2 linked regions of the Astyanax mexicanus genome follow. The protein of the gene in region 1 binds, or shares a complex with, the protein of each later gene. Links are inferred from orthologs where the notes say so. Each region holds a gene or a part of one and is shown on either strand. Other genes may lie near its edges. The genes, in order: ctnnd1 and cdh26.1.

Region 1 (15,622 bases):
AGAGATTCTACCACTGTGGACAGTGTGAGTAGTCTATCTTAGATATACTGCATGATCTAAACTTCCAGTGAAGCAAAATCCCAGCCCCTCATCATATTATTACAGATTACAAATGTCCAAAAAGATGTAATATGTGGGACTTTATTCAGGGCTGTGGACAGTCAGCCTGGACACATGCTCTCCCTGGTGAGCCCTAATCCAGATTACCACGTCTGCCTTCTGTAATCTCTCTGCCCAACAGGCTTCCTCATCGATGAATACAACGTAAAAGGCAACACGACACTATCAGCGTGCTCCACTCCCCCTCTGATAGGGGATATGAAGTACACGACAGCGTGGCTCATCGCGTTATATTCCACTGCAGCTCGGAAATCCCACCAATTTAATAACCCCAGCCTCACTGGTCTCTGTAGTGTGAGTTAAATAGAGCTATACTACAGGACAGTGTGGTGGATTTCAGGCTGCTTCAGGCTGATCACTATCACTATCATCACCATCACTATTGCCATGCCCTGCTGCCGGTCTGTACAGCGTTTATAACGAGTTCATCTCTCAGTGATAATGCAGAACGCAGATCAAACACTTACAGTGCGCATCTCTGATTTACTGCCCGGCGATCCAGCCGCTGAAGAACCTGAATGAAGCGCGCTCCCGCTGCAGACATGCACGCGCAGGAGGAGGGCGCGCGCGCACGTTCACGACAGCTGCTTATTCTTTTGTGTGTCTGAAGCTGGTTTACATTGTTTTAGTTTACATCGGCTTTAGGTATATATAAAGGCTATCTTTCTTTCTATTGGACAAAATGAATAAGGAATCCACTCTTTCTTTAATTCCCAATAGACTTCTTCCAAAGAACATTGAATAAACTTTCATTTTTGGTTGCTTTAAATCTTTTAAGGTTGATGATGGACAAACTAGCTTAACCCTTTCAGACTCTTTATCAATTACAATGGATACCATGCACTTTCTTTTTTCAATTGCTTTGTTGCACAGAACGCTAATTGAAACCTGTTGTCCATCAGAATAGATCATAAACCAGCCAATGAAACAGTAGCTTAGCCCCGCCCACTGCACTGGGAGAAAAATAATCAGCAACTCAGACATTAGGGCATGTCAGCACTTCAGGACAAAATAAGTGATTTAGATCATGTTTTATCATGTTTAGGAATACAAAGTTTTGGTCAATTTGATTTGTTTTAATATAGATTTTATACTATTTTGTGTGCATTATTACCGTAGACTGTATATAGCTGGACAGAGCATCGTCTCTCAAAAGTGAAGCCACCACAGGTCGGGCGCCCCCTGCTGTTCGGTTTCAGAAAGCTGTGTAACCCCACCCATCCCCATAGGTTTCAATGGCAAAACAGACTTTCAATCACGTTTTTTTCTAATATACTGTAATTCTACCTCCTTTATTTAAATGCAACAGCTAGTGTAACATCTGCTTATATTGTCAAATTTTTATATCCCCACAGAATTCGTTTTTTAAAATGTTATTCAGCTCTATTCAAAAAAGGTGTGGTTATTGTAAAACGGCTGGTTATGGGCGGGACCAATAACAGACCATCAGCTCCGCTCCGCCCCGCTCTGCAGTCTGTGACCGGGAGGCAGCCCTCAGGGGAGGGTTTATTTAAATGAGTAGGCTGTCTCTCCACAGCCTTTCTCCCTCCTCTGGACTCTACTGCGCAGAATCGGGTGTCAGGATCGCCAACATGGCGGAAGATTTTGGCTTCATTTTCATTGAATGAATGGGAACGGCGACACGGCGTCCATCTTTTTTTACAATCTCTGATTATTACAGACAGAAAACACCACTTATATTTTTCCATCACTGAAACATAATTCAGGTCTGAAAGTGTTAAAACAACCTTTAACACTACCTAATAGGCATTGGTTGATTATAAAATTCTGACAAGGAACATGTAGATAGATAATATATAGCTTTTTAGTAAATTGTCAAGTGTCCAGAAGTGCAGAGTATACAGTAAAGTGTCAATAGTGCAGATAAAAGATTAACCTCTGATCTAACATCAGCTGCTCTCCTTTCTCTTCCGGCCAAACAAAGAAAAGTTGAAGAGACTGATGGTTATTATTTACATGGTTATTATTTAGATGTCCCTTATACACTGCAAGACCACAGTACAGTCAATAGGATAAACATACAAACAACATATACATGTATTTTTTAATGTTTATTGGTTACAAAGTAATTGCAATTTACATGAAAATAGCACATTAATCAATCTCTATCAAACAAACTGTCACAGCTTAGCCCATGTCTGCCTTGTGTTTCTCCCTCATTTGGTCTCTTGTGCTCCTGCCCCTCTGTTTACCTGTCATGTTTCCCAGCCATGTGCTTCTGTTGTGTTTTGGTCCTGTCTCCGCCCTAGCCCCACCCTGTCATTAGTGATTTGTAACCCCGCCCCCTCTTGATTGATCCTCAGGTGTTTCCAGTTTCTTGTTCCCTCCTCATGTATATAAGCCCCTTTGTTTCAAGCCTTCTTTGTCTAGTCTTTTGTTGCTTTGTTTGCTGTCTGTGTTCAGGTTTGTTTCATGCTGTTTCTTAGATTCTTGTTTTCAAGTTTAGTGTTTTGTAGTTATGTATTCAGTGTAACTTTGGTTTATTTTGTTTGTTTGTTAATTTGTTTTAGTTTTTATTAATTTAATAAAATTAATTATATTCTGTCCATCCCCTCACTTCTGTAACATAAGACTAGACCCAAAAATATGGACGTAGCAGAATATCTTCGCAGAGGTGGGCAGAGTTTGGGGGAGGAGTACCTTCGAAAGACTGCTTGAACTGGATGAATACCTGTTCCAGGCTTCCCAAGTGCGTGGTCCATCCTCCCCAGCTCCAGCAGCACCCGCCGCCTCTGCTTCAGCGCTGCCCAAGCTGCACCCGCCGCGCCTGCCCAAGCTGCACCCGCCGCGCCTGCCCAAGCTGCACCCGCCGCGCCTGCCCAAGCTGCACCCGCCGCGCCTGCCCAAGCTGCACCCGCCGCGCCTGCCCAAGCTGCACCCGCCGCGCCTGCCCAAGCTGCACCCGCCGCGCCTGCCCAAGCTGCACCCGCCGCGCCTGCCCAAGCTGCACCCGCTGCTACAGCCTCAGCTCCAGCACCAGCAGCTCCTGCTGCTACAGCCTCAGCTCCAGCACCAGCAGCTCCCGCTGCTACAGCCTCAGCTCCAGCTCCAGCACCAGCAGCTCCCGCTGCTACAGCCTCCGCTCCTGCTCCTGTGTCTGCAGTGCCTGCCACCCACGTGGTACCCACTGCTTCAGCTCCAGTGCCAGCGGTGCCCGCCGCTCCTGTTTCTGCAGTGCCTGCCACCCACGTGGTACCCACTGCTTCAGCTCCAGTGCCAGCGGTGCCCGCCGCTCCTGCTCCTGTTTCTGCAGTGCCTGCCACCCACGTGGTACCCACTGCTTCAGCTCCAGTGCCAGCGGTGCCCGCCGCTCCTGCTCCTGTGACTGCAGTGACTGCCGCCCATGTGGTACCCACTGCCTCTGACCCTGTGCCCGCGGCTCCGGCCGCCTCTGACCCTGTGCCCGCGGCTCCGGCCGCCTCTGACCCTGTGCCCGCGGCTCCGGCCGCCTCTGACCCTGTGCCCGCGGCTCCGGCCGCCCTTGTGCCTGCTCCCAGAACTAAGCACACCCCCAGGTCGTGTGCTTCCAGACCTGCTCCAAGATCTCCTGCTTCAACCCCTCGAACTCTGCCCAGGCTGGTTCCGCAGACTTTGAACTTCACCAGTCCTGGGCTCCAGTCTATGTGTGTGTTTGTACCCATGTCTCTCCCTGTCCTGGTCCCCGTGTCTGTGTTTGTTCCCATTCCTGTCCCCAGTGGTTTTTCTATTCCCGTCCCTATCACCATATTCGTGTCAGTCCCAGTAAGTGTGTTTGTCCCAGTTCCCCTGCCCAGTCTTGTCCAGTCCCAGTTCCCGGCCACTGTCCAGTCTGTTTCAACCCCTTGTCCAGTCCCAGTTCCCTGTGTAGTGTCCAGCCCCCTGTCCAGTCTAGTGTCCACTCCTCTGTCCAGTCTCAGCCCTTTGTCCTGTCCATGTCCCCTGTCCAGTCTCAGCCCCCTGTCCAGTCTTTTGTCTAGTCCTTGTCCCCTGTCCAGTCTCAGCCCCCTGTCCAGTCTTTTGTCCAGTCCTTGTCCCCTGTCCAGTCTCAGCCCCCTGTCCAGTCTTTTGTCCAGTCCTTGTCCCCTGTCCAGTCTCAGCCCCCTGTCCAGTCTTTTGTCCAGTCCTTGTCCCCTGTCCAGTCTCAGCCCCCTGTCCAGTCTTTTGTCCAGTCCTTGTCCCCTGTCCAGTCTCAGCCCCCTGTCCAGTCTTTTGTCCAGTCCTTGTCCCCTGTCCAGTCTCAGCCCCCTGTCCAGTCTTTTGTCCAGTCCTTGTCCCCTGTCCAGTCTCAGCCCCCTGTCCAGTCTTTTGTCCAGTCCTTGTCCCCTGTCCAGTCTCAGCCCCCTGTCCAGTCTTTTGTCCAGTCCTTGTCCCCTGTCCAGTCTCAGCCCCCTGTCCAGTCTTTTGTCCAGTCCTTGTCCCCTGTCCAGTCTCAGCCCCCTGTCCAGTCTTTTGTCCAGTCCTTGTCCCCTGTCCAGTCTCAGCCCCCTGTCCAGTCTTTTGTCCAGTCCTTGTCCCCTGTCCAGTCTCAGCCCCCTGTCCAGTCTTTTGTCCAGTCCTTGTCCCCTGTCCAGTCTCAGCCCCCTGTCCAGTCCTTGTCCCCTGTCCAGTCCTTGTCCCCTGTCCAGTCTCAGCCCCTGTCCAGTCCTTGTCCCCTGTCCAGTCTCAGCCCCCTGTCCAGTCCTTTGTCCAGTCCTTGTCCCCTGTCCAGTCTCAGCCCCCTGTCCAGTCCTTGTCCCCTGTCCAGTCCTTGTCCCCTGTCCAGTCTCAGCCCCCTGTCCAGTCTCAGCCCCTGTCCAGTCCTTGTCCCCTGTCCAGTCTCAGCCCCCTGTCCAGTCCTTGTCCCCTGTCCAGTCTCAGCCCCCTGTCCAGTCCTTGTCCCCTGTCCAGTCTCAGCCCCCTGTCCAGTCCTTGTCCCCTGTCCAGTCCTTGTCCCCTGTCCAGTCTCAGCCCCCTGTCCAGTCTCAGCCCCCTGTCCAGTCTCAGCCCCCTGTCCAGTCCTTGTCCCCTGTCCAGTCTCAGCCCCCTGTCCAGTCCTTGTCCCCTGTCCAGTCTTTTGTCCAGTCCTTGTCCCCTGTCCAGTCTCAGCCCCCTGTCCAGTCTTTTGTCCAGTCCTTGTCCCCTGTCCAGTCTCAGCCCCCTGTCCAGTCTTTTGTCCAGTCCTTGTCCCCTGTCCAGTCTCAGCCCCCTGTCCAGTCCTTGTCCCCTGTCCAGTCTCAGCCCCCTGTCCAGTCTCAGCCCCCTGTCCAGTCTCAGCCCCCTGTCCAGTCTTTTGTCCAGTCCTTGTCCCCTGTCCAGTCTCAGCCCCCTGTCCAGTCTTTTGTCCAGTCCTTGTCCCCTGTCCAGTCTCAGCCCCCTGTCCAGTCTTTTGTCCAGTCCTTGTCCCCTGTCCAGTCTCAGCCCCCTGTCCAGTCTTTTGTCCAGTCCTTGTCCCCTGTCCAGTCTCAGCCCCCTGTCCAGTCTTTTGTCCAGTCCTTGTCCCCTGTCCAGTCTCAGCCCCCTGTCCAGTCTTTTGTCCAGTCCTTGTCCCCTGTCCAGTCTCAGCCCCCTGTCCAGTCTTTTGTCCAGTCCTTGTCCCCTGTCCAGTCTCAGCCCCCTGTCCAGTCTTTTGTCCAGTCCTTGTCCCCTGTCCAGTCTCAGCCCCCTGTCCAGTCTTTTGTCCAGTCCTTGTCCCCTGTCCAGTCTCAGCCCCCTGTCCAGTCCTTGTCCCCTGTCCAGTCTCAGCCCCCTGTCCAGTCTTTGTTACCATTCATAGTCCAGTCTCCTGTTTTGTCATGAGTTCCTTCGTCCTAGTTCTGTCGTCTTGTTCTCTGTTCCCTCTCTCTGCGCCTCTGGTAGTGGTGTCGTTGAGGGGGAGTTATGTCACAGCTTAGCCCATGTCTGCCTTGTGTTTCTCCCTCATTTGGTCTCTTGTGCTCCTGCCCCTCTGTTTACCTGTCATGTTTCCCAGCCATGTGCTTCTGTTGTGTTTTGGTCCTGTCTCCGCCCTAGCCCCACCCTGTCATTAGTTATTTGTAACCCCGCCCCCTCTTGATTGATCCTCAGGTGTTTCCAGTTTCTTGTTCCCTCCTCATGTATATAAGCCCCTTTGTTTCAAGCCTTCTTTGTCTAGTCTTTTGTTGGTTTGTTTGCTGTCCGTGTTCAGGTTTGTTTCATGCTGTTTCTTAGATTCCTGTTTTCAAGTTTAGTGTTTTGTAGTTATGTATTCAGTGTAACTTTGGTTTATTTTGTTTGTTTGTTAATTTGTTTTAGTTTTTATTAATTTAATAAAATTAATTAAATTCTGCACTTACGTCCATCCCCTCACTTCTGTAACACAAACCAAAAATATTTGCTGGTAGCACACCAAATAGTAAATAAGCATGAGTGTTATAAGCACTAAAATAAAAATAAATAAAGCTATCAATAAAGAAGTAAAATAAATGTTACATTGCAATAAGTCAATCAGATTTAAATATCCCACATTTTAACTTATAACAATATATACAGTATTGTGCAAAAGTTTGGGAATATCAGTAAAGGAAAGCTTATCTGTGAAGTAAGTGTTCAATATCTCACTAAAGCATTACAATAAATACAAACAGCAATTTTACAAAAAGCAGAGCTTTTAAAGCCCTGTTGTCCTTAAAACATTTCCTAATCTCTCCTCATTTGAGTTTAATAGTTATTTCTGGTTCTCATCATATCAACCACAGGTTTGGTAAATTAGGTGAGCTGCTGACGGAACTGAACATATACACTTGCTAACTGAGGAACATCCAGGAGAAATCTGGAACTACACTTTGTTCTTCAGCTTGGCTCACAGGACATACCATACTTAGCTAAAAATTAGAATTTCTTGTTACATTTTACTGTATGTATGTTTATTTACATCTGTTTAAATCATATGTGGTGCTTTTTTCCGGTAAAAACACTCATTGCTGAGATAAATGGACTTTCTTTGTAAATATCTATTTATTGTTTTTTTTTTCTTTTTACCCAAGAACAAGTACAGCACACATAAACAAGTAAAGAAATAAAAAAACATTGAACAACAGAATAAAATACAGTAAATAACCCAACACATTTTTCCATTACAAGGGGTATGAAGCTGTTGTAGGGTCTGGCAGTGATGGCTCAGGTGCTCCGGTATCTTCTGCCAGATGGCAGCAGTGAAAAGAGTCTGTGTGAGGAATGGGTGTGGTCATCCAAAATGCTGGTGGCTTTGCGAATGCAGCTTGTGCTGTAGATGCCGATGAGACACCAATGATCTTCTCAGCTGTCCTCACTATCCACTCTACGGTCTCTCAAACCAGAAGGTAATGTAAGTACTCAAGATGGTCTTTGCAGTCCCTCAGACTTAACAATCTGGAGTTGGGACAGCGTCAATATCTCTAGGAAATGTCTTTCAGAAAAATAAGAAGAAAATGGAAGAAAAAAATAATCAGTCATTATAAAGTTGTGCATCACAAAACCATATTAAACAAAAAGCAGTGATTTTCTGCACTTTTAATGTACAAAAACATATTGACCAAATCTGTTAAACCTGTCCAATGCTGTTTTTTATGCAATTAGCTGTTGAAATGTATATGCTTCTGGTTTTACTCTGCATCACTGTGCATCTGTTTTTCGTGAGAAAAAAAAATTATTTTTTGGATTTTTTGAACTGCTGCCTATAACTACACTCTTCAAAAAGAGTGTTTTTTTGAGCAATGACATAGAATAATCTTTTATGGTCCCTTAATAAACCCTGCTTGTGATAAAGGTGTATGTATGCAAAAATAAAACTTTAAAGTGTCTAAAGAATCTTTATGTAAAACAATTTAATATAAAAGTTCTTTACCAGTTTAAAGTTTCTTCATGCTGTGCTCAGTAGGCTGTAGTCAGCACTACAGCTCAGTAGCTTCCCATATATGCAGTCCGGAGGTCTTTGGGAAGTATTAATTATTCACACAATAAGATTTATTCCTAATAATGGATCCTCATTGCAACATATCAGTGGTAATGCAGTAAACTGAATAACTAAGAGCGGCTTTGATGTTGAAAAAAAAAACTAGGTAATAGTTGAGTAAAAGAGGAACTACGTTTCCTGGCAGGGGTCACACACACGCACTCACACACACAGCTTCTGACAGTCACATGAAGTTTGCTCTGAGATCACACAGAGTTATTTCAGTACTCAGACAGATACAATCTCATGCAATGCACAGACACACACACACACAGGGAGGCTGGCTTGTTTACAACATGCTTTTAAACAGCATGTTTTTTTCTTTTACAAAAATGTGCAAACAATAATGCATAAATACACAGTAAGCATGATTGACAAATACTACTACTACTACTACTACTCACAAGAAGAAGAAGAATGAAAAAAGGAAGAAGGAGCTTCATAAAACCAAAAATAAACAATTAAATAAAAAAATACATAAATTATAAATACATACATTTTTTTATATATTTTTTATATTAAGTGTTTTTTTCCCTTTTATTTAATATATTCTAGAATTGAGAACATCTGGCAAGGTATTTGAAAGATAGCAATGTTAAATGTATAAATATGAGTTTATGCATTAAAATGATTCCTGTCTTTACCCGATCAGCACACCTAAACTATTTTTGTTGTGGACAGTGGACAATTCAGTCCACATGCAGAAACTAACTGAAAAAAAGATGTTGGAATTCACTGATATAGGTAATTTAATATAAATACATCTACTTATGTCACTAATAGTAGATTGGCCCCACCATTTAACCATAAAGTTGAAGTGCTTAAACCTGGTTTTTGTACCATTAGAACAGAGGTAATTTAACTGTATCAAGGCCTCTAAGATGGTATCATGTAAAAATAAATAAAATAATGCATGGCCACGACTTGTTGTGGAAATTAGATCACTAAACTGTGGGAATGAGTTATCTCGTTCCCATGCCTTAGTAAGTTTGGTTGTTATACCTGGCATTTAATGTTCATTTTTTAATATAATGCAGTATACATATAGTTGTTAAAAGCACAGTGTGCATACTTTTAATGGCCAGAGGGAGGTTAAAAATTAACGTGGAAATAAACACTGACAGTCTGCGCCTCCTGTTATTGATCGTGAGGTGGCGCTCTCGCACTGTTTGTTCAGGTCTGAAGCGCCTATGCTTTTCATGGGATTTGTGTCCAAAACCGCTGTCCACGTGATGAAAACCACACTGGGGGTGTGACGAACTGTTTCCCGCCCCGCCTTATGTGTTTATCAGACGCGAAAAACACAAAAATATCGTTTAAACGAATAAAACGCGGGTGTTTGTAAGGTTTATAACATGTTTTAAATCCCGGAAGGAGCAGGAACAGTGAGTGCGGTTCTCCAGCGGGCGCTGAACTCCCCGCCCAGCCCCGCCCCGCCCTGCTCTGTAATGCGCGCGGCTCCGGCTGCGCAGGGGAGGGGCAGGAGGGTCAGGGGCGAAACTGGGGAACGAGGAAAGAGGAGTGAACAAGGCGAGGAGGAGGAGGAGGACGGGTAGATAGCTAGGTGGGCTTTTTTATGAAAGGACTGCCAGATTTTTATAAATCCACTCCGGCCTACGGATTTCCCACCTTCTTTACATCTGTTTGAATGGGTTCGATAGAGTTAACGTAAAGTGAAAGGCGAACAGAGAAGATCCGCGTTGGTGGCAGTGCGCACGGGCTGAAACGCCCAAATTTAGACCAGTTTGGGATTACGGTGACTTCCCAGCGCTTGGAAAAAAATCACAGTATCTGGAGCCTGTTTCGATAGGCCGAGACCGCAACCACACCATCGGACTTGCACAAAAAACACAAAGGTAGACTTTCGAAACTGCTTATTTTTCTCCAGTCGTTATGTTAATAGAAACGGTTGTGTTTTTCTCAAATCGCGCGTGTTTACACAAAAGCCCTGCTCGCTTTTGTTAGTTAGGAAAACTTGGAAGTTGGCTATGCTAAGCTAGTTAGCTAGCGTGCTAACGCTTTAGCACTCAGGTTAGCATGCTAGTGGTGTTAGCATAGCGCTAGCAGGTTTGTTATCTAGCCGAGCTACCGCTAGCAATAGCGTCTCACGGACAGCCACGACTCACATTTGCCGCTAGCTAGGTGTGAAGATGAAGCTGAAAGTTAAAGCTAACAGCTAGCGATATGATTTGTTGATAATGTAGTTACTTATTTTAAAGTGAATTATTGTGGATTTTACACGTTAGCTATAAACTTGCGTAGCTATTAGACCTGTCGAGACAAATACATTCGACTCATACTGTTGGTTAGTGTTAACTAGCTAACCTATGGGATAACTTATTATAGCTCGGTTAATAGCTAGCTAGCTTAAGGCTAACTTATTGACTTACATTTAACTAACCTTTATTTACAACATATTTGGATAGTTTATTTTACTAATTAAGTTTTTCTTCAATAATTCGTGTAGTTAATATTGTGGCCGTGAACGTAGTTAACTTGTATTTACTGAAAACAGGGAGTTATTTAGCTTGCTAACCAGAAACCGAGCTGTTTATTTTTTATTTTAGTGTTTTGCCTAAATTTGTATTAAATATTTAGCTTGGCTGTTATAAGTTATCTGTTTATTTAGGATTAAATGTGCTCTTTTTATTGAACTTACCTATTATTGTGTTTCAAGATAATGAATGCCTACATTTCCTTCTAGCGTATCTATACTCTAAAAATTAGTAGTCATACTCTGCATTTCCAGCAAAAGCTTACTAATAGCTATGTTAAACACACAGCTTTGATACTGGGACATTTTATGTATGGCTTGTAAATGAACACTTGATCACCCGGCGTGTAACTGTATGAGGGGAATCCTCAGCAGTGTAGTAGTTACCCATGACAAGTAGTTTTAGCCTAATAAAATTATACAAGTGATGTAACCTAGCCCAGTAATATAGTTCTAACCTAGTTTTAGTACTAGTGAAAACGAGATATCTGTAATGCGGAGTAGTGCTACTACAATTTCTAGCTTTATATGATGCCTATATTTTTTAACCTGTAATGATATCAGATTTTTTACTTGCAGAATCTGCAAGTAAAAGTCTCAAATCACTGCAACTCGGGAGCACCTGTTAAAAAATATTTGGTTTGTTTCTTTCAAAATATAGCTCCTTTTTGGTGCTGAATAAGTTACCTGTAGGTCCTTATTCAGCAAGGTAGTTTGCTAGGTTAAGGGTTGCAGATGTGATCTTGTCTTGGTTGGAGATGTTACCTGTGATTTTTTTTTTTTTTTTTTTTTTACTTTTAGATTCTTTTGGGATTCAGTGAGGAGTAAACACGCCTTGGTTTATTGTTTATTATCAGTAAAGTTGCATTGTTTTTTGGTGATGAGGTGAAAACTGTGATTGTGATGTAGATTACTTTGTGTGTAATTTGCACGGACAGTGTTGGGAGAGTGTGAAGTTTGTGAGAACCTGTTGAGTAGGTGCTGGTGAATGGGTGTGTGTGTGTGTTTGTGGGGGAAGGGACAGGCGTGGTTCAGTGTGTGTGTGTGTGTGTGTGTGTTTTTTTTTCTTTGTAGACCGTCTTTTCTTGCATTTACACACAATACAGTGTAAAACAGCCAGTCAGCGTGTGGAGTGAGTGGTCAGTGACTAGCTACAAGCTCACTGATTTTACGGTTCGTCTGACTTGGCTGATATATTTAGCATGAGTCACTGGAGATGGGTTGTGTGTGAGAGAGTGTGTGTATGCAGTTTTCACGACTTAAAAGGAAAAATGTTTGATTCCCCCCCTCTGAGTGGCCTGCGGGTGTGTCTACCTTGACCTGTGGCTGAGAGAGGGAAGGGCATGTTAGTACACGCCATGTTTTTCTAGCTAACCAACACTACTGTACAACACCTTCACACGCCTCAGTTGTTCTGAATTAAGTTTAAAAACGCTAGTTCTGAAGAAATGTTGTGAATAAGATGGAGTGCTCTTTTTGAAAGACGTAGTCTGTAGTTTCCTCCATTTCTTTTTTTCTGAAACGGTGTAATGACCGGGTTTACTGTTACAAGGGTGTGTCCGTCAAACACGGAAGGGGGTTGAGTAGTTTTAAAATACACGTCTCTGCCCGGCAGTCACCACAGACTGTGTGGATTCACAAAAACCGTGTACAGTAAAAATACATGGCTTTTAAACAGCTAATAAAGCACAAAGATATCGGACAAACCACCGTTTTAGCCTGAGGGAACTCCTACAGGTAAACCGGTTGCTTTTTCAATTTGGAGTTTCGTTTAAAAAGGGCTGCGTCATCGGCTGGCGCGTTAGCGCCTCAGGTAAAGGCTAATGGCTGAATGGCTAACCAATTTCACCTTCAGCTCCCAAACAAAAGGTAGATCTGTTCCAAAACTTTAGGATTAAATGGTGTATTCTTTCTTACAGAGCCCCTGAAGATTTTAACCTCTTAACAGGCCTGAATTTTTGTCAGTTGTCTGCCTGACATTACACCACTAAATCTTGAGGATTTCTATTTAAGCACTACTTAAAAAGTTTTCATGTTTGATAAGGAACATTACCGAGAAGCGTAATTGTAATATAAAATAAAAAAACATATATTTAAGAAAATCTGCTAATTTCAAAATATAATTAATACAACTATAAAATTGTATTTTTCCTGAAATTCATTTTAAAATCAATATCTTCCTGAGTACAATTCAAACAGTTCATGTCTTCCAAACCTTTAGTTTAGTTGGTCTAGTTTTTAGATCTGTTTTCGAACATATAGATTTTGGGTTGATTTCACACATTCTCTGTGTCCTGTAGGAGATTTCAAAGCCCTTGAAGTTTTCAGAATGTAAAGATATGTTAAAGGGCTAAGAGTCTTAAAACATTCCCATTAATTTAAGAGATTCAACACTACTCACCACAATCAAATTATTATTATAAAAAATGTAGGGCTGGGTAATACTGTAAAAAAATCTTGATATTCCTTAACTAAGTTAAATAGTGATTTAGAATTCCATTTCGACCATAGAAAATGCAGCTTAGACACGAAACCCTAAATATGGACATATGGGGACTAGAGAATGATTCATGACTGCAGTGGTCTTTAGTAAGCAGCCCTGTCAAATTTACATTCAACCTAAATATTAAACACAGTGCCAACATAACCTCCTTGTATTTCAGTTAAGGAAAAGTGCACAAAATCAAAATTACATTAAAAAAAAAGTTCTTTACTGGTTTCTGACAGACGCACAAGCCTATCTACTGAAATTCCCTCTGGCAGCTTCTACATATAAATATTTTTTAAAAGTTTTTTTTTTTTTAATTTTAAAAGTCACGTTAAAACAATAATTTAATTAACCTCCCAGCACTGCAATTCTTATTTAAATGTCTCTTCCTACACCACTAGGTATAAGAATAGCTACTAAGAATACAAACAAGACATATGTAAATATATTAAAAGTAAAGTAAACTCATCAGTTTTATTAAACTAAGAGAATCAAAATTTTACTTAACTGTTTTTATATTTTTGTTGAATTGTGTCATAGTTGGAGTAGTTAATGAGAAACTAAACAGAGTTTTGCACTTATGAGGAGAAAGTTGGTTTTACAGAAAGATATGCATGAAGGGATTAAAGAGTAAAATTGTTAATCATGTTAATGATTAATCTAACGTTTTCTGTCATAGCCGCTTCAGTCCAATTAGTGTCAAAGCACTTTATTAAAGAATCCAGATTTATGGACTATATATTGTTTACCAAAGGATGCATTCGATTGACTAACAAACCTCCCAGAAGCTCTAAATGTCTCAACTTCTGGTATGTCAAAGTTACTCAACAACTCGTATGAATGTGTGTGACATTAGTTTTGCTTGTAGGAGGGTTGGAAGTATGTGTGGTCTCAAAGTTCACAGAGGCGTTAGTTTGGAGTCAGGCCAAAACGGAGGGATCGGCTTTTCACATTCAGTTTTAACCTGAGTCAGCAAGCATGGGGGACCCTCATGGATTGTCCAGCTTTACAATACCAATGGCATGAACATGCACTGCGTGTATGAAGAATTGTGGGAAGTCATTATTATCCCACTAGCACACCAGAGTTAATTTGTTCTGCCAGCTTAAGGTATAACTGCGACACATCTTTTGGGCACAATTGCAAAATGCCATGCGCTGTGATAGGACTCAGTAAATGCAGGTAAATTTTTTTGATATTGCTTATTACTTTGCGCAGTGTGGGAGGTAGTATTGTAAAGAAACTGCTTTGAGACTTTTTTTTTTCTTGAGCGCTGTATCCAATAGCTGCAGCATTTTTTAATCACATTCTGTATTTGTAATTCTTATTACTACGTGGTCTGTTTACTCTAATACTATTTTTCTTAAGATCTTAAGATTTTCTGTTCAAGTCTGGTCTGGTTTAGCAAACTGTTTGCAGTGCATGGTCTACTAACTTTTCTCCATCTGCCTGTCTTAGTGAACAGAAGTTAGCTTCTTACCACGTGTTTAAATACCTTAATGTTCAATCCCCTAATTTTTGTTCCTCGTTAATCCACAAATTCAGCCTAGAAGTTAACAGCTGTTGTCTCAGAAAGTCTCTCTTCGTGATATATGAGCATCTCAGATGACTGGCTGGTACATCTGTGTTCAGTGGTATGCAGTAAGCGCCACTTGTTTGCCCTTTTTTTTTGTCAGGGTCTTGCACATGGTCATAGGTGAAAGCGGCATCTTTATCACTTCATCAGCCATACCGTTGAGGCATGATCTGGGTTTCGTCTAGATCTGCTCTGAGTGTTTGCAGTAGGTGTGTAGATTGTGGATGTTAAGTGGCTTAACAGTCTAATACCTCAGCTATCCCATTAGCAGAGACACACACGATTAAGCACCCATGCAAATTGAATTAGTTTGGCCTAATATGGCTTAGTGTTAATGCTGCTGTTTCTGTATCTGTGCTGGTCTCAGTCATAACTGAGATTTGTTTTGTCGACGTCACAGTGATGGCATTTGTCAGGCTTTTTCGAGTGCTCAGAGCAGTATCAATGGGCTTTTGATTCTTACTTGCAGTATCACTGGAAGAATATCATGTACTAGTGTTGAGTTTTGGTTTCAGTAGGGGTGGTGAATAAAAAAACTTAGTCATTTAAGAAGGGAAAACTTTAAGAAAATAATCTGGTGATGTTGTGAATGTACACACATTGTGCTATTTACTTAACAGTAGGGCTGTCCCTAACGATTATTTTTTAAACGATTATTCTAACGATTATTTTTTTCGATTAGTCGACTAATCTATTCATTGAGAAACATATTTAAATAATTATTTTACGTTTTAAAGCAAACGATAAATTACTATATTTATATATAATAACAACAACAACAACAACACAAGCCTACTAAACCAAACCCCACACTTATAATCACTTACATGTACAGCACGTTGTTTAGATCTATAACGCTAAAAATGGATAAGCTCCCATACACCACAACCGTGTGTTGCACTGTTTTCTGTGACCGCTAGATTTTGTGACCACTGGCAAGTAGTTCTCAGCAGACCGGTGCACTGGCCGATTCGAAACGTGTTCGTTTCTAATGTTTACCCCGACTGGCCAAAACGG
Region 2 (15,796 bases), on another chromosome or scaffold:
GTCTGTCTAGGTTGTATTCAGTCAGTGGAGCTCCTGTGTTTTCTGTTACCAAGATAAACAAGATAAAACTCCAGAAATGTACCTGAACACACCTCATAACCAGAACACCACGCCCATCAGTGTAGATATATTCAGAAGCTCTGCTGCTGTTTAAACCAGGCAGGAGGAAGGAGTGAGAATAGACTGTTGGTGGGGTTTAAGATAGCGATGAGCATCGTCACCTTTAACCTGAAACTGCTGATGATGTTCTGAATGCCAGGCTGTCAGTTTAACAGTAACTGATACTGGGCCGGTCCCACGGCCACGCCCACTCGGCGCCGTTTCCCACAGTACAGAACATCTCAACCCGAATACACATACCATTCACATCACCCAAAATTATCTTTAATTTCAGGTAATTAAACTCATTACTCTACTCGTTACACAGGAGTGAGTCACACATTCTCCAATCCTACTGTACAGGGGTGGGTTTCCCGAAAGCTTCGTAACGCTAAGAACTTCGTTAACTCGTACTTAAGATTGATCGTTAATTAAAGAGTGTTTCCCAAACCCGTGCGTAACTAAAGTACTACGTAAACTCGCTCGCAGATTAACGAGTTCCCTCACCCAGTCGTTATTTTTAACGAGCTTCTTTAGGGGATCTCGACTTGCAGTTCAGCACCTTAAACACCAGGGACCGCCAATTTTAAGGAAGAAAAATGTTCATTTACGTGGTTGAAGCAATTATATTATATTACTATTAATTATATTATATTATATTATATTATATTACATTACATTACATTATAATATTCCCCGTGTCTGCGGGTGCTCCGGTTTCCTCCCACAGTCCAAAGACCTAATTGGATGTCGGATAAAAATTAAAAACTGACCCTTAGGTGTGAGTGTTTGAGTGAATGTGTCTGTGTGTCTGTCTGTGTCTGTCTGCCCTGCGACGGATTGGCGGCCTTTCCAGGGTGTATAGCCGGCTGGTATAGACTCCAGCCCCCCCGCGACCCTAAAAGGATAAAACGGTTGACGATGAGTGAGTAAGTGAGTGAATGAGTTATATTATATTATGTTATATTATATTATATTATATTGCCATATAATGCCATATATAATGCCAATTTGTCTGTGGCTTGTAGTCTAACTGGGCAAACCCATTATTAAAATCCAGATTCCTGCAGATGATGCTCACGGTCTAAGCAAAGCTGCAAAGTCACCATGTCCGTGTATTCTGTAATCAGGCTGTTACTGTGGCATACACGCAAATATACACAATTCCCACAAGACCGGGAATTACAGCACAACATTATATATTTCCATGCTATTGGGAAAATTCCTGGTACTGTAGGTCCGGTGCAGGGGACGCCTGTGGTGTCTTTAATCACACCTACACGTATTGTAAAGGGTATCGGTGAATGTGCAGGTAATATTTAATATTATTCCTTAATCAGGTGCTTCTAACCAACATTGTGGCCGTTCATCTGGGCAAACTCTGGGGTGTGTCAGCTCGCAAATATATAAATACCAGTCAAAAGTTGGACACGTCTCATTCAATGTTTTTTTTTTTTTTTTTTACATTGTGGATTAATATTAAAACCATGAAAACTATTAATTGACGCATATGGAATTATCTAGTAAACAAAAAGGTGGGCTTAACAATCCCCTGACCTAAACCCAACTGAGATGGTGATTTGGATGAGCATACTCATGTTGGTATAATATATATAACATACGTATATGTATTATTATATTATTTTTATATTTTTTATATATTATATTTTTATATTATTATTAATAATTATAATAATAAATTAATATTACTCGCCAAATTACTATTAATAATATTAGTATAATATATATTAATATAATATATATATATTAGGGGTGTCACGATTCTCTAAATCCTCGATTCGATTTCATTTTCGATTTGAGGGTCACGATTCGATTCGATTCTCGATTTTCTTGTTTTTTTTTTCTTGTTATTATTTTATGCCTCATAAAATTTAAATAATATATTTATTATTATTATTATTATAAATATTATAAATATTATTATTATTATTTATTAAGATATATATGGTAATGCCATCTAGTGACTTTTTTTGGTAGCAACAGTGTGCACTATTAAAACAAGCAGTTTATCAGAGCTGTGTGTGGATGGCTGGTGAAACTGCTCATTACATGAAGCTGCAGTTCTTCATCCAACCACTAGCAGCAGCAGCACAAGCCCCGCTCTCTTCACTCAGTCACTACTTCAGTACAGCCCAGCCACGGGCTACAGAGCTCAGCCAGTCCGTTTTTACTGTTTCTGTAAACAAATAAAGGTTTTAACCCCACTAACCGGATAATACAGCTCACTACAGTTCATCTTTCAGCCCAAGCAGCTAACAGCAGCAGGTTAGAACAGCCGACACGGAGGCACTGCTCGGATTACATTATAAACAGGTCAGTTAGCGCGCTGCTAACCTCAGGATGTTTATAACTACGGAGTTTAGTGGACACACCACGGCCGCCAGGTAAGTCTTTTAAAGGCTACTGAAGACTATTAAAGGCTATTAGAGGTTATTGAAAGCGTTATTGGGGGGCAGAAATCAGTACAGGCTGGTTAGATAAGTGATGTGGTGAAACTGTGGTTAGCGCTGTCACAGTGATGTTTATTAACGTCATTAAAACAGATTTTGTCAGGTATTGTCTTATAAATATTTACACATAACTTATATCTCTCCTGAAAAGCTTTTATTTTAGTCAGAAACACGCTTGTGTTTACTTTATCTGAGAGAAAGATGTTTTTTTAATTCAATGGAAAGCAACAGGTGTAGTCAATTATAAGTTTAAGATTTTTAATCCACCTCACTGTGATCTATAGTCAGTGTTCTCAAGTCACACTGACACACGCATTTCAGCGAGTTCACACGCTCTCACCTGCGCGCACCCACCCCTCCGTTAGATACAGATACAAAACCTGCGCGCCCAACCCCCGCCCCCCCTCCCCCGTTGGACAGATAAAAAACAGTGATCACACTCCCGCCGACACTCAAAACTTGAGAGCCCTGTCTATATTTCTATAAATCCGTTTTCAGTTTCTCCTCCGTGGTTGAAAGGCAGCTGTCTCTCACACAGCAGAACTGAGGGCGGGGCTGCGCTCATGCAGTGGCTATCTCTATTTAAATGAATAGGATGCGCTGTGTTGGTGCCGCGCCATTTGCGTAGCGCGCTGCGCTATTTGCGTAGCGCGCGCGGGAGGGATCGTCGATCCTCTTTTTGACTTCGATACTCGAGACCATGACCTCATTTCGATTCGATTTCGATAAAATATCGAGATCGTGACACCCCTAATATATATATATACATATTAGATTTTTTATTATTTATTTAGTCATATGTATCTTTAGGAGTATTTTATTAATGCCAAAGTAAATCCTTTTGTAATTTAAATTTCAGAATATGTATAATATTGATGATTACAACACATTTCTACGTTTTTAGGGTGTAATAGTGAATAAATACTGCATATTGGCAGTGTTGAATCGATATTTGTGGATCGATTGAGTGCGCTGTTTTGGGGGAGGAGTCAACAAAGACGCTCTTAAACCTCGTTCGTTAATTTCCGCTTTGCGAAGCTCTTTGGGAAACACTCGCAGAACTGGCTCGTTCTTTACTCACGTCATTCGTTAGTTCGTTCGTTATTCGCTAAGATTGATCGTTTTCGGGAAACCCACCCCAGATCAGTAAAATACATTCAATATATATAAAATACATTTCATTCATAGTAAATGAATAGTAAAGTGATCTTTCAGACTGTAATGGAACACATAAGGAATCATGTAGTAACTTAAAAACAGTGTTAAACAAACCAAAATACTCATCAAATATATCAGTTTCTGTGGCAGGTAACTCTGAATAACGTATCCTGTACAACAGAGGAAACTCTCGCTCTTTCTTTCCAATCCTGTGACGGTCCTGATGAGTGCCAGTTTCATCTTTATAATAATAATAATAATAATAATAATACATTTTATTTTTATAGCGCTTTTCAGGATACTCAAAGACGCTTTACATTGCATAAAAAAAAAATAAATAAATAAAACACAATATGAAAATACATAGTAAATAATCAACATCATCATCATCATCATCATCAACATCATCAATACCATACAATAATGTTTTTGATGGTCTTTGTGGCTTCTGCACTTGAGGAAACCTTTTCAAAGATCTTGAAATTCTTTTTTTTTCCAGATTGACTGACCTTCATTTCTATTCTTAAAGTATTTTTTCTTTATTTAGTTGAGTAAATATATATGCAATAATACTGAGCCTTTTCTCTTTGGATACTTGTATATTGTATTTTTTACCATCCGTTTCTTGTGTGTATTTCATGTGTATATTTCTTGTATGTATTTTGTCTGTGTATATTTTGTGTGTGTATATTTCGTGTGTATATTTTATCTATGTATTTCGTGTGTATATTTTGTCTACGTATTTCGTGTGTGTATATCTTGTGTATATTTTGTCTGTGTATTCTGTCTGTGTATTTTGTGTGTATATTTCGTGTGTATATTTTGTCTATGTATTTCATGTGTATATTTTGTCTACGTATTTCGTGTGTGTATATTTCGTGTGTATATTTTGTCTGTGTATTCTGTCTGTGTATTTTGTGTGTATATTTCGTGTGTGTATTTCTTTTGTTTATTTTGTGTGTGCATTTCTTGTGAGTATTTCTTGTACCCTGTTATGATCTATCTATCTAGTTGTTTCTTCTCATAACCTGGATTCGAACATTACTCAAATATTCACTATTCACTGTATACCTGTAACTCTACCTCTTCACTACTTTACTTTAACTGATGCTCTCAAACACTTTATTAAGAGACAAGAAATTCAAGTAATTAACTCTTGATGAGTTCAGCACAGCTGTTAACTGAAAGCCTGAATTCCAGGAGACTCTACCTCATAAAGCTGACTGAGAAAATCCAGCAGAGATGTTCAAAACTGATCATCTAAACAAGAGGAGATACTTTATAGAATCTAAAATATAATAAAACATATTCTGGTATGGTTTGGATGAGTTTAGTATTAATCTACAATACAGAACATTATAAAATAAAGTAAAAACACTGAACCACTCAGAATAAACCCCTCCGTCATTCTGCCCCGCCCAGAGCAGAGCTTTATTATAACAGAGGGAGGAGCTGATGGATTTACCCGGTAGGAGATATATATGTTATTTTATGTTGATTTTAGAGGAATAAAGATCTGTCTTCACCTGTTTTACAGCAGATCTGTGATCAGAACTGTGATCTGTGTGAACTGTCAGTTCAGTTTTTTTACTCGGACTGATGGTCTGATGTTTTCTTTGAGATGATCTCAGGAATAATGTAAAGATCAGAGTGATGAGAGAGGAGCTGCTGATGAAGCACTACTGAGATTAATGTTATTACAGTGATTAACCTCAATCACCACCGATATTCACTACTGTAGAAACAGAGAACAGGGGAAGAGTTTTTATACAAAGCAGAAGAAATCACTACTTTCTTTCACTCTCACTTTCACTCTATCATCACTCTTATCTTCCTCCTGCCTGGTTTAAATAGTAACAGAGCTTTAAACAGGAGTTTTGCTTGTTTATCTTGGTAACAGAAAACACAGGAGCTCCACTGACTGAATACAACCTAGACAGACGCCAACAGTCAGACGTTCATCGCTATCTTGGCAACACGCAGCAGTGCACAAATCTAACTTTTACATCAACAATAAACAGAATAGTAAATAAAATAACATTGCTGTTCCCGTAAATGAGCTGCTGGAGCTCCTTCACAGCATCAACCAGCAGCTCAGTTTCCTCTGCTGAGAAGAGTTTGTTGGACACATCCAGGTAGCTGCACCGTTACAATAGCAATCCGCCAAAGTCAGAGCTCACCTGATCTACTCTTAAAGAGAATGATGAACAAGAGACACTCTGATTGGTTTATTCTTTCACATTACGCCCAAAATTAATTAACCACACCCATCATTAATTAAGAGAATTAGTGACATGACTTTTGCTTTGCTTTTCAAGGCACGCAAGGTATACTTTTCCCGTCGTTACGATAGCAAAGACACACTGGCGTAATATGATGGAATTTATTTGAGGGGGCAATTTCTCATCTAAAATGTTTACACACTAAATTATAATATATTTATGGTTGTTTTTTTTTTAATTTGGTTGGTTAATATGTAGATGATTTAAGTGGATATTAAACCATCCAGGCGCTGTTTGGTTGATAAGCAGTTCAGTTTGGAAGTAAGAAGGCCGGCTATTTAGCTTCTCTTCTCCAGTTAGCGTTAGCTAGCTGGCTAGCGTTGGCTAGCTATCTTAACATGGCTAGGGTTAGCTCTTTAGCTAGCATTGGCTCTTAACGTTAGCTCTTATAAGTAAATAATGCTAGCTATGTTAAGATAGCTAGCTAAATAGCTAATGCTAGCTATGTTATCTTAACTAGCTATCTTAACATGGCTAGCATTAGCTCTTTAGCTAGCATTAGCTCTTAGCGTTAGTTCTTAGAAGTGAATAATGCTAGCTACGTTCAGATAGCTAGCTAAATAGCTAATGCTAGCTATGTTATCTTAACTAGCTATCTTAACATGGCTAGCGTTAGCTCTTTAGCTAGCTATTTTACACATCATGGGAAACACTTTAAAACAAGACTACCTTTATAAAGGGTTTATGAAGGGTTTATAAACAAGTTTAGTAATGGTTATTAAGTAGGTTGCAAATCCTTTAAAACCCATTGATAAGCAGTTAATTAATATATAAACACATAAATAGAAATGGCAACAGTGAGCTGAAAATTATAATAAAATAGCAAAATAATGATTCCACTCTCATTTATACTGTTAAAAATCATATCCTTCTAGATCAGGGGTGTCCAAACTACGGCCCGCGGGACATTTGTGGCCCGTTTCCTTTTTTGGAGCGGCCCACGAGGTATTTTAGAAATAGAATGAAAGTTGTCCCGCTGTTAAGCAGGTTTTATAATGTGAGATTCAAAGTTTGAACGCTAGGTGTCAGAAACGGGCCAAAGAGTCTAAAAGCGGAGAGGGTGCGCATTTCTAGCGCAGAAAAACGGGCCAAAGAATCTAAAAGCGGAGAGAGTGCGCATTTCTAGCGCAGAAAAACGGGCCAAAGAGTCTAAAAGTGGAGAGAGTGCGCATTTCTAGCGCAGAAAAACAGGCCAAAGAGTCTAAAAGCGGAGAGAGTGCGCATTTCTAGCGCAGAAAAACGGGCCAAAGAGTCTAAAAGTGGAGAGAGTGCGCATTTCTAGCGCAGAAAAACAGGCCAAAGAGTCTAAAAGTGGAGAGAGTGCGCATTTCTAGCGCAGAAAAACGGGCCAAAGAATCTAAAAGCGGAGAGAGTGCGCATTTCTAGCGCAGAAAAACAGGCCAAAGAGTCTAAAAGCGGAGAGAGTGCGCATTTCTAGCGCAGAAAAACGGGCCAAAGAGTCTAAAAGTGGAGAGAGTGCGCATTTCTAGCGCAGAAAAACGGGCCAAAGAGTCTAAAAGCGGAGAGAGTGCGCATTTCTAGCGCAAAAAAAACGGGCCAAAGAGTCTAAAAGCGGAGAGAGTGCGCATTTCTAGCGCAGAAAATTGGGGCAAAAGAGTCTAAAAGCGGAGAGAGTGCGCATTTCTAGCGCAGAAAATTGGGGCAAAAGAGTCTAAAAGCGGAAAGAGTGCACATTTCTTGCGCAGAAAAACGGGCCAAGGAATCTAAAAGCGGAGAGAGTGCGCATTTCTTGCGCAGAAAAACGGGCCAAAGAGTCTAAAAGCGGAGAGAGTGCGCATTTCTTGCGCAGAAAAACAGGGCAAAGAGTCTAAAAGTTGCCGTAATTAAGGAGTTAAATATTAAGAGACATCATGAAATGAAACATCAATTTGAAAAATCTTAGTTTACACAACACTGTCAAAGATAAAGATAGTAAATCAAGTAAAATGGTGTGTAAATGAAATAATCAGGAAAAAGTATTATTTAAAGTGGTATATTTCATTATTTGTTTTATTACAGAGTCTGTGGTCCGTGACTTCAAATATATTTCTCCTTCTGGCCCCCAACAAAAAAAGTTTGGACACCCCTATCCTAGATACTGATTTTACTTTGTGTTTTCCATCAATCAGCATTAAACCTGTAATATTAATATATTTATATGTATGTTTTACTATTTACTATAAATTAAATGAGTAAGTTGCCACTGTTGCTTTTTTAATTGATGTGTTTTAACTGATTATCAATGGTTTTTAAGGCATTTACAACCTAATCAATAATAAGTAATAATCTAATTTACAAACCATTTATAAACCATTTATAAACCCTTTATAAACCCTTTATAAAGGTGGTCTTATATTAAAGTGGTGCCGCCTCCTGCTCTGTTCTTCAGAGCTGTATGGAGGACGCTCACACCTGGTCACTGGTGAACGTTGGTGATGTGGTGAAGAACACAGGTCCACTTCCCCTTAAGCCTGATCACACTTCCTTCACAGGTGCTATCACTTTCTTATCCAATCACATACTTCCTCACTGGGGGTCCTTAGTAATCTCTTCTTTACACATTTTACAATGAGCCACAGGACATATATTTATGTTGTATGTTGGTATGTTTTTGTCGCAGGACTTTCTGCACAATCACAGATACAGAAACATTGTACTCTCCATACTCTCCACACCTTCAACCTCCAGCCAGAACACTGAAAAAACCATGAGTAAAATTTACTTAAAAAAATTTTTCACAACTTTCTGCATTTGCTTTTTTTAAGTAAATTTAATTTCAGATAAATTTAAGTAACTTCAACTCGGTTTCAAGACTTAAATAGAGTTACACAGAGTAAATAAGAGAACTGAACTTCAGTCAATCCTTTCTTTTAGTAAACTTTACTTCATTTATTTTTACTGATTCAATCCTTTCTTTTAGTAAACTTCATTTATTTTTACTAATCAATCCTTTCTTTTAGTAAACTTTACTTCATTTATTTTTACTGAATCAATCCTTTCTTTTAGTAAACTTCATTTATTTTTACTAATCAATCCTTTCTTTTAGTAAACTTTACTCATTTATTTTTACTGATTCAATCCTTTCTTTTAGTAAACTTAACTTCATTTATTTTACTGAATCAATCCTTTCTTTTATTAAACTTTACTTCATTTATTTTACTGAATCAATCCTTTCTTTTAGTAAACTTTACTTCATTTATTTTTACTGAATCAATCCTTTCTTTTAGTAAACTTTACTTCATTTATTTTTACTGAATCAATCCTTTCTTTTAGTAAACTTTACTTCATTTATTTTTATTGAATCAATCCTTTCTTTTAGTAAACTTTACTTAATTCACTTGTTTACCTTTTTTCAGAACTACAGTTTTTTACAGGTTTTACAGGTCTAGCGGAACCCATGTTCCTTACTAGTGTTGCATAATGTGTCTTAAAATCCAGTGTGAAAAATACACCATTCTCCATTGGCTCCTGGTACCATATATTTACATACTGTGTGTGTAATAGTGAACCTGGTGAAAATCTTCAGAAGCAGAATTAACGTTCAGTATTTCTGCCGTACCTCACCTGACCGTCCTGTTCCTGCTCACCTGAAACCTGACCCTTAATTAAAGAGAAGAGGAGAAGAGGAGGAGGAGGAGGAAGAGAAGGGGGTGGAGGAGAAGAACGATAGAAGAGGAGTATTTCTCTTTTCTCCAGTAGAGCATGTCAAACAGGCCACTCCCACACCTGTCCCCTCAGGTGTTCTCCACTCTCACATTTACATTACCAACAGAAAGAGAGAGAGAGAGAGAGATAGAGTGAGAGAGCGAGGGGGAGAAAGAGAGTGAGGGAGAGAGACAGCGATAGAGAGAGAGAGAGAGAGAGAGAGAGAGAGAGAGAAACAGAAAGAGGTCGAGAGAGCAGAGGTTGGAATTGATCTTTAAAGATCTGGTTCAGCTGAAGGTTGTGGATTATTGAGTCTCTCGGATCTTCAGGATGAGGATTACCTTCATTTTCCTCCTTCTGACAGTGAGTACAATATATTTACAATATATTTAAGATATATTTACAATTTATTTGTGATATATTTACAATATATTTATCATATATTTACAATATATTTATAATATATGTCCAATGTCTGAAGGATCAGCTCTTAACCACAGCGCTAAATAAAACATTAGAGCGAGTAAAATCCTGTTAAATACAGAGTAAATATATCAGACTGTAAGAAGCTCCACACAGCAAAAACTGATTCTGATTTTCTTAAATTCACTTAGCTGTAGTTTAAATATCACATTTCTCATAGATATTATTATATAAGACTTATTATATATTATTAATGATAAGCTTACTGTTTATTTACTTACTACTAAAAGTGCCTTATTCTATTTTCAGATCATTTTGCTTCTTTTTAAAATTTAACACTTTCAAAAAAATAATTTGTCATAAATAATACTACTATTATTACTGCTTCTCTCCAATAAAACTGCATTTAGATTAATTTATTGGGGTTTTATTTAGTTATTTTGTGATGATATACAGTATAAATAACTGGGTATATACTGTATTTTATATATTTTGTATAATCCTGCCTCCTGGGCAGGTGTATAAACCTGCAGCCGTTCCACTGACTGATAATGATTCATCCTCAGAGAATCTGTTAGATCTAATCAGAAAAACAGACACCAGGATGACACATCAAAGAGCAGAATAACAGATAAATGACAGATAATATCAGTAATACCTGCACACTGCAGGCCTGCACACATACACTTTAAATATATTTAACCAATTAGAGTCTAGACCCATTACTGAACACTGATACTATATACTTAATTGTACTTAAAACATATTAAGAAATGTCTAAGTATGCTGTAAATATACTAACAGGTTTATGTACTTTACGAAAAAATATATTAAAAGTACATTAATATTTTCAAATGTAACAACTGTTACAGCAGGTTACTTAAAATATAATGTATCATGTAACTTTTTAGAAAGTAAGTTAAATTACTACATTGATAAATTATAAAATATATATATTTAGGTATTACATTAATATAACAGTTAAAGTGTATTTGAATGCTCTGTAAATATAATTAGGAAAAGACAAGTACAATAAATTATAGGATACAGTGTTAAATAAAGTAAAGTAAATTTGTAACATGCTAAAAATTGTAATACAGTATATTAAAATATATTTTTACCTAACGAATACACATACACGTTAAATATATTTAACCCATTAGATCCCAGACCCATTACTGAACACTGATACTCTGCCCTGGTTTAAAAAAATATATATATACTTAATTGTAGTTAAAACATGTTTAGAAATGTCTAAGTATGCTGTAAATATACTAACATATTTATGTACTTTGTTAAATATATTAAAAGTACATTAATATTATGCTTTCATCAAATGTAACAACTGTTACAGTAGTTCACTTAAAGTACAATGTGTCATGTAAGTTTTTAGAAAGTAAATTAAATTACTACATTGGTACATTTTAAAAAATATATATTTAGATATTTAATTAATATAACAGTTAAAGTGTATTTCAATGATCTGTAATTATAATTAGAAAAATATAAGTATAAGTATAACTAGAGGATACAGTGTAATTTGTAAGACGCTAAAAATTGTAGTACAGTATATTAAAATATATTTTTATACAAAATGAAGTATACTAGAAGTGTGATTCTTACAAAAGACAGAAACAAGAAGCATGTATATTTGTACTCTAATGTAAATATATCACATGTATTTAACATTAATTCTTAGTACATGTCTAATCTAATATACCTGGTTTATAATAAAGAGTGATACAGTTGTAATACTCTAATAATTAAATGTATTATAATTTTACTGTAAGCATATTTAAAATATGGGGTTACATCATACCTGTCAAGTCTCCCGTTTTGGCCGGGAAACTACCGTATTTTACTCCTCTTTCCCGCCGTCCTCCCGTATTAGTATTTTCCCGTAAATTTCCCGTATTATATTACAATAAAAATATATATATTATTAAGGAGACAGGGCACTGACCGCTCTGTGTCTCTTAACCAATCGTGGAGCCGGTTCAAGGAGAAAGTCCCGCCTTTCAGGAGAAACAGCCAATCAGCTTGCAAGGAGGGTCAGTGTGGGGAAGCCCCGCCCTCCTCGCTGTGAGTTCAGGCAGCTAGTTGGAGCAGCTGATGTTAAAACATACATGCAGCGATTTTTCTAAAAGAAAGGTAACGGTAGTCTAATCATGGAAACTGTGATGAGATTTTTCTGATAGCTGCTTAAAAATACTCCGAAATAAAACACACAGATTAAACCTTTTAAAATAAAAAAAATTACAGCTTGTGACTCAGTTTAACTAGAAATGTGGAGAGAACCGACATTAACTGAACTGATCAGGGGTGGAGTGATCAAAAGGAAGAAGTATTAATTAAAAATTATTAATTGTGTAGGCCCCTTAGGACTAATTTTTACTGATGGAATATATCTGGTCCATGTCCTTTTAGTAAAAGCTCATAATACCATTTTTAGGTCACCAACAGTCATTTTGCAGAATGTTTTAAATCCATTTTAAATCCATTAAATAAATAAAACATATATCATATAAAAGAGTGCATTTATTACAAAAAAGACATGAAATCTTAAATAAAAAAAAAATATATAGAAAAGGGTTTTTAATTTGGCTGTATTAAAAGAATGACATATGTAGGAATGTCCACAACATGTTCAGATTCTGATTATCTAATTGTTGTGTGTAAGTGGTTCACATGTGTTTATTTTAGATTTTTTGTAAACCTGTTTTAAAATGTAAGGGATACTGAACCTTCGTTGGGCTGGTGGGACGACTTTAAGCGGACAGAGGAAAATATCCCTTATTTTTAAATCTAAAACTTGACAGGTATGGGTTACATACATGACGTAGTTTAAATATTACTTAACTATATGTAAAATACTGTAGTTCCATTTTAGTACAGTTAAGTACACTTAGCACAATTTAAGTAAGACTTTTGTTTTATTTTTATACTGTAATTAAATTATAATATGTACTAAAAAAGCTGTTTCATTTTAGCACTCTTTAAATATACTGATTAAAAATTATGTGTCTACACGAACACTTTAGTTCACCATAGCATAATAATGCTTAGTATATTTTAACCTACTTTTATTTCACTAGGGCGAGCCCAATTTAATGCCTGACCGTTAATCCCACCACCTTTCTCGGGTCGAGAAAATAATCTGTGATGTAGGCCGTCTGTTTTAATGCTATTTTTAGTTTATATAAAACTATGGTGTAATAATCACAATATAGTAAAGTAACAAATCAAACTGTGTTTTAAATAAAAGTTGCAGAAGTTAAGAAAATCACACAGCTCTCTCTGCGCAGTGTGTTTTCACACTTAGGATATATGCTTAAAATAAAACATTTGCTTGTGTAGAAAGTATTTTATATTTTTAAACCTTGTTAAATTATATTAGCTTAGAGTTAATGATTGTGCAGTGTAAAGATATTTTGCTGTTTTTTTGTGTTTTTGCACTTTAAGGCTTTATAAAGCTTAATATAAAAAAGTTAGTTTGTTTAGAAGGTATTTTAGATTCTTAAACCATGTAAAAATATATTGGATTAAATTTATTCAGACATCACTCCGGTAGTTTAATTCTAATTTACTGATGTTTAGGCCCGTGGATTATTGTTTGCATAGTTTGTGTTTTAATCTTTTTAAGAGATCTGTTCTTAATAAACATTTTTATGAAATAATAACAGGTCTACGCTTCTTCAGTGTTGCAATGTTAATTTACATCATTCTGTTCACCTAAAAATGATTTTAAAAGCTCAGTTTTAGCGCTTTACTTACTTAAAAAAATGTGGGGTTTAATTCAGCCTCGGGCTCATTATCTCAGCAGTTGATTCACATTTTGTTCTTACTGCGATACTACAGGTCACTTTACTAAATATTTTAATATTAAAATCCTGATATAACATTAATTAAGAGTAACAACTATATAACTTTGAATTTGAACATTTATATGGTTATATGGAAGGTAAAATAATTGTGAAAAGAAAAGTAAAATGAACCCTGTGACCTTTCAAATTTACACCCATGACAATGTTTTTTTTTTGGCATGAAATCCTCAAACCTGGCAACTCGGACTGAGAGAGGAGAAGGTATCTGATTACAGATGCAATACAGGAGCGCAGTACAAAGCAAAATATTAATCATAAAATAAGTGAATAATATTAATAAAATAAACTAAAGTACTATAAATAAAAATGTTGATGTATGTATGAATTCTATCAGTCAGGTATTAAAGAGCAGTAAAGACACTCCACTGAAGTACAGAGTTACACAGGAGTTTCAGTTTAGTTCTCCAGCACCAAGGATCGAGCAACGTTAGCATTAGCCGCTAACCACAGCGCTAAGCACTAGCTCTTTCACCATTCAGAGGTGAATCTATCAGACTGTAGTTTGCATGTTTACCATGTTAAAACAAACAAACCGCCAGCTAATATCACCCTGGCTTACGAAACACTCATGTAATGCTAATGCTGCTGCTCCTAGCCTTAGTGCTGGAGAAACTTCACTGAAACTCACCCTTATATATAAAACATTAGAAATCTAAGCTTACTGTAAATAAACGGTGGTTTACTCACCCAGGAGAGAAATCTGTGTAGATTAACATCCAGCACTCAATTAACTTAAATATAGGAAATATATATATATATATATATATATATATATATATATATATATATATATATATATATATATATATATATATTTTAAAGAATTACAGTTTTGTTTACTTAGGCGCTTCCCCCAGCTTCCCCATTAGAAGAGAAACATGGCGACACCCTTGTTCACTTCAATTTAGAATCCTTACTAATGCCGCTTAATATCGCTTTATAATCCTATGCGCCTTATTTATGAAAACAGACCAGAAAATAGACATTCACTGACTATAATTTGAAAAACAGTAAAATTATTACAGTAATAAAAAAGTAATAAATAAATAAATATGGTAACACTTTATTTTAAGGAACACAAATCAGGCACTTATTAATGTCTTATTATTTGCTTAATAAAGCCTTAATTAGACATTTGTAAATTATTTATTCACTACTTATTAGGCTTTATTCTGTGTTATTAAGTGTTATTGGTGCTTTATTAGTGGTCGGTTATGTGGAAATGATTAATAATGGCTGTATTAGGTCTCATACTTCACAATAAACGGCATGTATTATTGGGAATAATTAGATATATTAATAATTTTATATATTTAGGAATAATTTAGTATATTTGGGAATATTTAGATATATTTTGAACAATTTGGTATATTTAGGAATAATTTTGACAGACTTTGTAGTTCTTTGTAACTAATATCCTTTACAAACAATAATATATGGCAATATATTGGAAAATATATTGCAATATACTAAATAACACAATTTCAGTTAATTAAGTGTAATAAAATGTCCTAAAAAATAACAATATCCAGCCTGTGTGAATGATTCTTATTATACACTTTGTAATTTTATATACTATTTTATATATAACTATTAAAATGTTCTACAGAATCTATTTAGAACCATTAAAGTTTAGCTGTGAAGGTAAAAACAGTGGTTGTAGTGATTGGCAGGCAGTGGTGTTATCCACTGCACCACAACAGTGAGCGATAACATCATGTGGGGGACTGGGGTTCAATTCCCGGTCTGGGTGACTGAATGCTGCTCTACACCAATAAGAGTCCTTGGGCTGGACTCCTAACTACACTACATTAACCCAAATCTGTAATAAAAA

Evidence for each region.
Region 2: ctnnd1 (region 1) and cdh26.1 share a complex: the UniProt entries of both Homo sapiens proteins name them as parts of the cadherin:catenin adhesion complex. The link is inferred for Astyanax mexicanus from reciprocal best matches to the Homo sapiens genes CTNND1 and CDH26.

Annotation. Positions count from the first base shown.
Region 1 is NC_064414.1:44,245,704-44,261,325, forward strand, and holds the start of ctnnd1 (catenin delta-1), read left to right. Parts: upstream 1-9,542; 5' UTR 9,543-9,903; intron 9,904-12,253; exon of another isoform or gene 12,254-12,278; intron 12,279-15,622. UniProt on the Homo sapiens protein: Key regulator of cell-cell adhesion that associates with and regulates the cell adhesion properties of both C-, E- and N-cadherins, being critical for their surface stability.
Region 2 is NC_064420.1:51,241,926-51,257,721, reverse strand, and holds the start of cdh26.1 (cadherin-like protein 26), read left to right. Parts: upstream 1-9,844; 5' UTR 9,845-9,985; coding exon 9,986-10,018; intron 10,019-15,796. UniProt on the Homo sapiens protein: Cadherins are calcium-dependent cell adhesion proteins. They preferentially interact with themselves in a homophilic manner in connecting cells; cadherins may thus contribute to the sorting of heterogeneous cell types.